2 linked regions of the Sus scrofa genome follow. Each later gene encodes a partner of the first gene's protein in a complex. Links are inferred from orthologs where the notes say so. Each region holds a gene or a part of one and is shown on either strand. Other genes may lie near its edges. The genes, in order: CEP152 and CEP63.

Region 1 (4,400 bases):
TCCTTCATTTTATTTGTTCATTTATTCATTTACTCATTTATTAAAGTTGTTTTTAGTGCCTTCCAGGGGCCATGAAGTGTCCAAGAAGCAAAGTAAGTGTCTCAAGATATTGACGCTGGACTGAGTGAAAGATTACACAGCAACTAATTATAGTAGATAATGAGGATTATAATGAGATGAATACACCATATCCAGAGGGGAGAAGGATCATTTCTACCAAGGTTGGGAGGTATGTGTCATCAAAGACTTCAGGGGATGTGCTCATCTATCTTGGAGACTGAGTAGCTGGGGAAGTTAAGTAGGGGCACTGTAGGTGAAAGATAGAGTTTGAGCAAACCAAAAGCATTCTGAGAACCTCAGGGAGCCAGGCCAGAGGTTTCATTCATCTAGTGCTATGGACTGAGTGCATTTTATGTGCCAGGCCCTTATGCTTAGTTGATGGGGTTGCAGTGGTTCGTGTTGGTATCCAAAAGTGGAATGGTGAGGTAGCAAAGGAAAACGAGCCAGACTATGGACAACTTTTAACAACTATTTTACTCTATACTAGTGTATATGGGAAAGAATTAAAACTAGTGTGAACTTACTGCTACCAACTCCATGAGCGTCTCTGGGAAAACCCCCCGCCCGCGTCCCCATCTCCCGCTCGCCTCCCCCACCTCCCGCTTCCCACCCCCCAGCCGCCCACGGCGATAGGGATCAATTTCGAGCCGAGCCACGAATTACTAAGCTGCAGCTGCGGCAATGCCAGTTCCTTTAACCCACTGTGCCGGGCTAAGGATGGAACCTGCCTCCCAGAGTTCCCAAGATGCTGCCGATCCCATTGCACTACAGCAGGAGCTCTTCTGAGACCCTTTTATCCCAGGAAGGTAGATACCGTAATGGGATTTATTCCGGACTGGAGAGCATTGTCTTAAAGGTCAGGTTAACATATACCTGAGTGACAGGAACATTCACACTCTAGGAAATTCAAGTAGTCAATAAACACGTGTCATCCCATCAGTAATTAAAGAAACACAAATTCAAACAAGGTGGGATCTAGTAAGCAAGAAGACAAAGTGAAACAACCTCTAAGGCTGTTAAGGCAATTTAGAGAATCTGAAGGATAGATACAAAAACCTCCAAGGTGGATTCGGTGGGGGAAGCGAAGGATTCTGTGTACCGCTCTTGAGAACTGATATTTAGGAGTGGGGAGCGCGGAGGGCAGGAGCATTGCACCAGGTGGGGTTGGGTAAGACCAGTTCACAGGCAGGAGGCCAGGTGCTAGGGCGTCTCTATGCAACCGATAAACCCGCCCCCTCTGCAGTGAACCCTTTTGTAATTGGCTCACAAGTCCACCAATGGACGCACAGGAGGAACTTCCCGCCACCTCTGGCGCCCGCTTTTAAACAGCCGTATAGTATTTGCAACTGCAGGCGGACTTCTCAACCTAGCTTGAGAAAGGAGGAGACTTCCGCCCCCTCGCCCTGCCCCCAGCCGCCATGGCCCCCCCTACTAGGCCAGCTACTACCCGGCGATTGAAGGGGGAGGCTGCTCTTCAATGGCTTCAGGCCTCCAGTGTTCGGTTGTGACTAGGAAGAAGCTAGCGGATTAGAGCCAGGGCGAGGGGTTTGCTAGAGGCTGGTCTTCCACCAGAGCTAAGGTGACTCTACGTTGACAGCATCTGTGGCCTCCGGTGAGTTTCGCTTCGGGGATGGGCTTGCGGCAGGGGTAGGAGGAGGTGCGGAGTCCTTGGGATTCTGGCTGGGGCTTCTGGGTGGATTAACCCGCCCCCTCCCCAAATACTGCAGTGGTGTACTGCTCGGGGTGGCGGGACTCAGTCTCTGAAGTGTCATCCAGACCCCAAGATCCTACTTAGAAGTGACGTCTTAGAAGCCCTCCTTGCCTCCTCTACGCCGCTAGAGTAGCCCTGAGACTCTACCCTGGGGACCCCCGCCGTGGTTCGTCTGGCGCTGTGCCTGGCTCACAGTGGGTGCTCTGTACACGTGTGTTGACCGAGTGCCTGTGACGCCGGCAGCCCAAGTCAGCAGCCCCAGGATGCACCCTGGGGTCTTGCAGTTTCGTTTTCTCGGTATCTGTTTTTACCGTGGTTGACGCCAAAAGGAGTTCTTTGGTAAGGTCATTGGTTTATTCTTCGTTCAGCTTGTGGGTGCCTACCCGCTGCATCCTCTGGGCACCCTGAGTATATTTGTCCGAAATGCTCTCATTAGCACTGATCAGATTATTGTCATCATTTTTATATACATCTGTTTTCTTTCCCTCCGCCAAGCCCTGTTGAACTTTGTGATCTTGAACAGTGCTTGGCAAATAATTGTGGAATGAATAAATAGATGCCTCCTAAGCCTGCTATTCCAAGTCTGAAACATCAGGCTAGTGTGCTCTGGCTGTTTTCATTCTAGAAAGGAAGCTAGTATGTAATCAAGTAAGTAGAATTTCCTAACTCTCAAGGCCCCCTTTGTGGCACTTAACCTTTTCTATTTTATGGTCGCGAATTTGAGTCTATTTAAGCTGAATTTTGCCATCTACTTCACAATGTGTAACAATTTGTATCCACTGCTTAGACGTGAATATACTCAACTAAATGAGAAGTTGAAATTGGAGCCATAAGAAAAGTGTAAGAAATACAGCCTGGAGTTCCTGTCGTGGCTCAGTGGTTAACAAAACCCGACTAGTATCCATGAGGACGCGGGTTCAATCCCTGGCTCAGTAGGTTAAGAATCCAGTGTTGCTGTGAGCTGTGGTGTAGGTCTCAGACGCGGCTGGAATCCAGCGTTGCTGTGCTGTAGGCCCGCGGCTACAGCTCCATTTGGTCCCCTATTCTGGGGACCTCCATACGCAGCGGGGTGCGGCCCTAAAAAAGAAGAAAAGGAAAAAAAAAAAAAAAAGCCTGAAAGTGCCAAAGAGTGATTAATTTCACGAGGGAACAGGATTGGGAGGGCTTGTTGAAGGCAGTGGTATTTTCATCCCAGAAGATGTTGCATTATTTGAAGGAAGATTTCCCAGAGGCTGCACAGTCATCTTTTTCCAGGTGTACTGAATGTTACTCGTTCCTTGAACCGTTTTTATAGCTGGCAGACCTCTATTCATCAGTAAGGAGGTCATAATAATAACAAAACAAAAATGTATTGATTGGTACAGTGTGAAACACTTATATACATTAATCTTGTGAATCCTCATGACCAATCTTTGAGGTAGGTACTGTTTCTGCCCCCCACTTAATTAATGAAGAAATGGAAACAGTTTGTGCAGTTTAGCACAGCTGATAAACAGGAGAGCCAGAATTGAGCCCAGGCTGTCTCAATGAGTGCCCTCATTCTTAACCACTTTCTGTTGTATTGTGTCCTTGAAGATCTATTTCTAAAATCTTTCCTTCTGTGAAACTTCTTTTCTTTTTAGGCATAGATTATTTGTGCTGTGTACTTTTCTGTATTATAGAATTTATTTCAAGGTATCATTGTAACAATTTATATCATTGTTTCCCTAAGAAACTGTAAGCTCCCCATGGCTGGTACCATGTCTTAGATATATCTAGGACATAACCTGGCATGCAGTAGGTGCTCAGTAAAATTTAATAAATCTGTATAGACCAATGCAAATGTATTATATTCATTCATTAAATATCTGTTGTGTGCCTACCATGTGTAAAGGGTGGGTTTGATGCCTACCATTTGTAAAAGGTGGGTTCGATACATTTTAATTCTGCCTCCAAAGTGCTTATACTCCATTAGATGAGGCAAAAACAATGCTACTTTTGCTTTTTAATGTTTTGTTCAGTTCAACACCGATTGGTCTTCTTTCTTATTGCAACGAGGGCAAAGAAAACTTAACCAGGGCCAACAAAATGAGTACTGACTGATACTGAGTTCCACCCATCTGAGTGGGACATATGTCAGAACATAGTCTTGTTAGGTTGAGAAAAAGTTATCTAGAAAGACAGTGATAACCAGCTTACTATTAAAAAAAAGCACTACACTGTGCACTTATTCCACATCTTGATTTTTTAATAATCAGTCTATATATAGAAATATTTTGTTATTTTTGTTAGTGACATAGTACTGTCAAATTTATTCAAAAGTACTTTTACTAGAGCAAATGTTCTTTTTCAGTGTATTAATATTGATAGTTTTCAAGATGGTTTTCCAGTTTGTACTTTTTATCAGCATTTCATATGGATGCCTGTTTCCTATAAAATAGCCACCACTCAGTATTATCAAGGGTTTTTTTTTTTTTTTCAGTTTAGCTGTTGAAAATCATATTTCATTGTTTAAATGACACCTTGAGTTCTTCCTGAGCTTAAGCATCTTTTCAAGTTCATGGAGCACTTATGTCGTATCATCTGCCCATTTAAAATTGGATTATTTGTCTTTTTCTCATTTATCTGTGAGAATTGTATGTTGAAACTT
Region 2 (3,817 bases), on another chromosome or scaffold:
TTAGGTAACAGTCTATCATTAGTTGACCAAAAATACAAAAGAAGCTGTTTATAAAAAGTCAACTTCTACTTCTTATAGGACTAGTGGGGTTGGAGAGGTGGGAGGGGCATGAAAAGGCTCGGGGGAAAGGCTGCTGTTTATACCTACATCCAGAGAGTCTAAAACCGAGGCTTGAATGAAAGTGCTATGTAACTCCCTGCATTTTTTTACCTAATAGTAGCTTTACTTGTGCACAATGTACTTCAGAATTAAGTAGAGAGTCTTGTGATGAAGATTTAATTTCCATAAATCGGAAAATATTCTCAAAGAAATGAGAATTATAAAGATACACATTTTAAATAAACCATGAAGAAATTTTACTTGAACACAGGTATTCTGCTATGTGTTGGTTTAAAGATCCTGTCATGGTTTTTTTTGCACATCTGAGTAGAAATCTCCAGCTGGGATTTGGTATCCATCAAATCTTTCTGTAGTTGTTGATTTTCAGACACTAATTTATTTAATGCCTCAATATAATTCTCCTGGAGGTCTGCTAGTGAAATCTCTTTTGCCTAATAAAAAAAGAATACTGGAGTCACTTCATTTGTATAAGAATACTTGTGATCTGTGATACTGATAGCAGAAAATAACATTTTTTTAGCTGTAACTACTCAATCTATGACTTTCTGTAGGAAAACGTGAAGGTTTGGTTTTGGCCCCCTAAAAGAGAAAAAGCATTCTGTTTCTTATAGTAAATGGGGGTAGAAAATGAGGAGCACAGTGGGCCACCCTGATGTGCCAAGGAATATCGAAGGAGCTAGAGAAGGCTGGGAGTATGACTGAAGAAAGGTATAAATGAGAATCAAAAATAGGGGAAAAGAAAGAAAATAGTAGCCAGGGATTCTCCTTCAAGAAAGAGAAGGTTGAGCTTAGTGAAATAAGTCAAACAGAGAAATACAAAGACTTATGTTATCATTTACGTTATCGCATATATATCTATATATCTCACATTTATTTCAAAAATAAAACAAATAAATGAACAGAAACAGACTCAGAGATACAGAGAACAAAATAGTGGTTACCAATGGGGAGTGGAAAGGAAAGGGGCAAGATAGGAGCAGGGGAAAAAGAGACACAAAAAGTATAAAATAAATAAGCTACAAAGGTATATTACTGTACAGCACAGGGAATAGGGCCATTATTTTATGACTTTAAACAGTATAATCTATAAAAATGCTGAATCAGTATGTTGTATGTACACTTTAATATTGTAATTATATATATACAACTATAATTTTTTAAAAAGCTACTAATTAAAAAAAGAGAGAGAGAAGGTTAAATAGTCCCAGAATACCTGTGGAAAAAAATCGAGAGATCTATTTCAAAGAAAGAAATTTGAACATAAGGTTCTGAACAGCAATTCTGGCTGGCAGGGACAAATTTTAAATAAATTATTCTCTGGTCTTATAGATGTTTACATAATATTGGCACCTATTCTGGCATATGAAATAAATTTGGATATGATAAAGCAGTATTCAAGGGTAACGCAGAAATTACTACTGCAATCTGGTCAAAGTTCTATGATTATAAATTTTATTCCTCTTCAATTCTAGGTGTTTTCTGGTAATATAGTACCTGAAAAAACAGGAGTCTAGATGGACCATTGTTTTCTTTCTTTTTTTTTTTCTTTTTGTCTTTTTGCCATTTCTTGGGCCACTCCTGCGGCATGTGGAGGTTCCCGGGCTAGGGGTCGAATCGGAGCTGTAGCTGCCAGCCTACGCCAGAGCCACAGCAACGCAGGATCCGAGCCGCGTCTGCGACCTACACCACAGCTCACGGCAACGCCGGAACCTTGACCCACTGAGCAAGGGCAGGGATCGAACCCGCAACCTCATGGTTCCTAGTCGGATTCGTTAACCACTGCGCCGCGACGGGAACTCCTGGACCATTGTTTTCTAATGATAAAATATTTTCATTAGCATTCTGAAAATTTATGGTTTTTTTTTTTTTTTTTCTTTTTTTGCTTTTTAGGGCTACACTGGCAGCATATGGAAGTTCCCAGGCGAGGGGTAAAATTGGAGCTGTAGCTGCTGGCCTATACCACAGCAACTCAGGATCCAACCACATCTGCAAACCTACACCACAGCTTGTGGCAATTCCAGATCCTCAACCCACTGAGTGAGACCAGGGATCAAATCCACATCCTCATGGATACTAGTTGAGTTCATTACCACCAAGCCACAATGGGAACTCCTATGATTATCTTCTTTGGAATTTTATAGGATGTTTAGCTTGGTCTTTTCTATAAAGAATTTTCTGAAAGTAAGCTGCTCCACAGTGCTTTGACAAACAGAATGTACCTAATGAAAACATAAATCTTAAAATACAACTTTTTAACTACCTATACCACTAGTGACAATAAGTTACGAAATCTTTTAATAAGTTGCTGATGACAGATAAAATCTCAAAGGAAATTTGCAGGACATAGGAGTTAAATTATAAACTACAGTCAATTTTTTTAATATGGTAAATAATCAGAGCTATTGTTTTCATTAGGATAATTAGATAATTTTATTAAAACAGTTATTTAGCCAAAATATTAATTTGTAAAAGTAATTCCCACCTTCCTAGATGGTCAAATGCAAAAAGGCACTTTCTTTTTTTTTTTTTTTTTTTAATTTTTGTTGTTGTTGTTGTTGTTGTTGCTATTTCTTGGGCCGCTCCCGCGGCATATGGAGGTTCCCAGGCTAGGGGTCCAATCGGAGCTGTAGCCGCCGGCCTATGCCAGAGCCACAGCAGCGCAGGATCCGAGCCGCGTCTGCAACCTACACCACAGCTCACGGCAACGCCGGATTGTTAACCCACTGAGCAAGGGCAGGGACCGAACCCGCAACCTCATGGTTCCTAGTCGGATTCGTTAACCACTGCGCCACGACGGGAACTCCCAAAAAAAAAAGGCACTTTCTAATAATTGTTCTTAATACATATACCATGTTTACATGGTATGTATCTTCAACACCAGAGAAAGTTTAAACCGCTGATGGTATTTCGCACCAGAGTAATGTCTGATGTCATTAAACGTACATTTTAAGAGAAGATAATGTTTGCCTTTGCCAGGCAGGCATCTTTTAAACATTTCTCAAATATATTATTTTATTAACAACAACTACAGTTAAATGAATGTGAAAGGTAATAAGAAAGGCGCATAGCAAGCACATACCTGGCTGTGTCAAGAAAGGATAGTATTAGCACCGTTAGACAGAAGTTTCAGAATAAACTAAAGTGAACAGAATCTCTGGTCATAGCTGGCTTAAGCACTCTCAGAGTTCCCAACTCTCAAATATGAACAGGTAATCACTGTGTTCACACATTGCCAAATGCTGAGCCTTTTGAAGATTCTGTGCAAATCAGGTTGGTTCTTGGTTTTCTCCACCACTTTAGCTTAGTACTGGCCTTATCAGTGCATATAAAGTCATTTTCCTTCCCTCCATTGTTCTTTCCTTCCCTCCTTCTATCCATCCACCCACCCATCTTCCCCCCTTACAGAATGTTTAGCTATTGTCTCCTCTCCCACTTTTCCCATCCTTATAGGTTTGTGCTTTAAAAAAAAAAAAAAAAAAAAAAAAATCCTTTCATTATAGGAGGGATTTGGGGAGGGAACATGATTAGTTGCATATGCTCATCTGCCATCTTAAATGATGGCATAATATTTCCTAGTATAGAAAGTCACAATTAACCATCCCTCTATAGATTAACATTTTGGTTTTTTTCCAAAATTTTGGTTATTGCAAACAACACTGAAATAACCATTTTTGTGCATTTGCTCCTACAGGATGGG

Evidence for each region.
Region 2: the proteins of CEP152 (region 1) and CEP63 are in contact, whole or in part, in a crystal structure (PDB 6CSU), measured with the Homo sapiens proteins. The link is inferred for Sus scrofa from reciprocal best matches to the Homo sapiens genes CEP152 and CEP63. Residues at the interface, in NP_001181927.1 of Homo sapiens: Gly1261, Ala1262, Glu1265, Leu1266, Gln1269, Tyr1270, Lys1272, Ala1273, Lys1276, Ile1277, Asp1280, Met1281, Tyr1284, Glu1287, Ser1288, Arg1291, Ala1292, Met1295, Ala1298, Arg1302; in NP_001340037.1 of Homo sapiens: Phe666, Glu669, Glu670, Arg673, Ile677, Arg680, Leu681, His684, Glu687, Leu688, Glu691, Ser692, Thr695, Phe699.

What each region holds. Positions count from the first base shown.
Region 1 is NC_010443.5:122,874,733-122,879,132, forward strand, and holds the start of CEP152 (centrosomal protein of 152 kDa), read left to right. Parts: upstream 1-1,413; 5' UTR 1,414-1,672; intron 1,673-1,731; exon of another isoform or gene 1,732-2,110; intron 2,111-4,400. UniProt on the Homo sapiens protein: Necessary for centrosome duplication; the function also seems to involve CEP63, CDK5RAP2 and WDR62 through a stepwise assembled complex at the centrosome that recruits CDK2 required for centriole duplication.
Region 2 is NC_010455.5:75,700,014-75,703,830, reverse strand, and holds part of CEP63 (centrosomal protein of 63 kDa), read right to left. Parts: intron 552-3,817; coding exon 361-551; intron 1-360. UniProt on the Homo sapiens protein: Required for normal spindle assembly.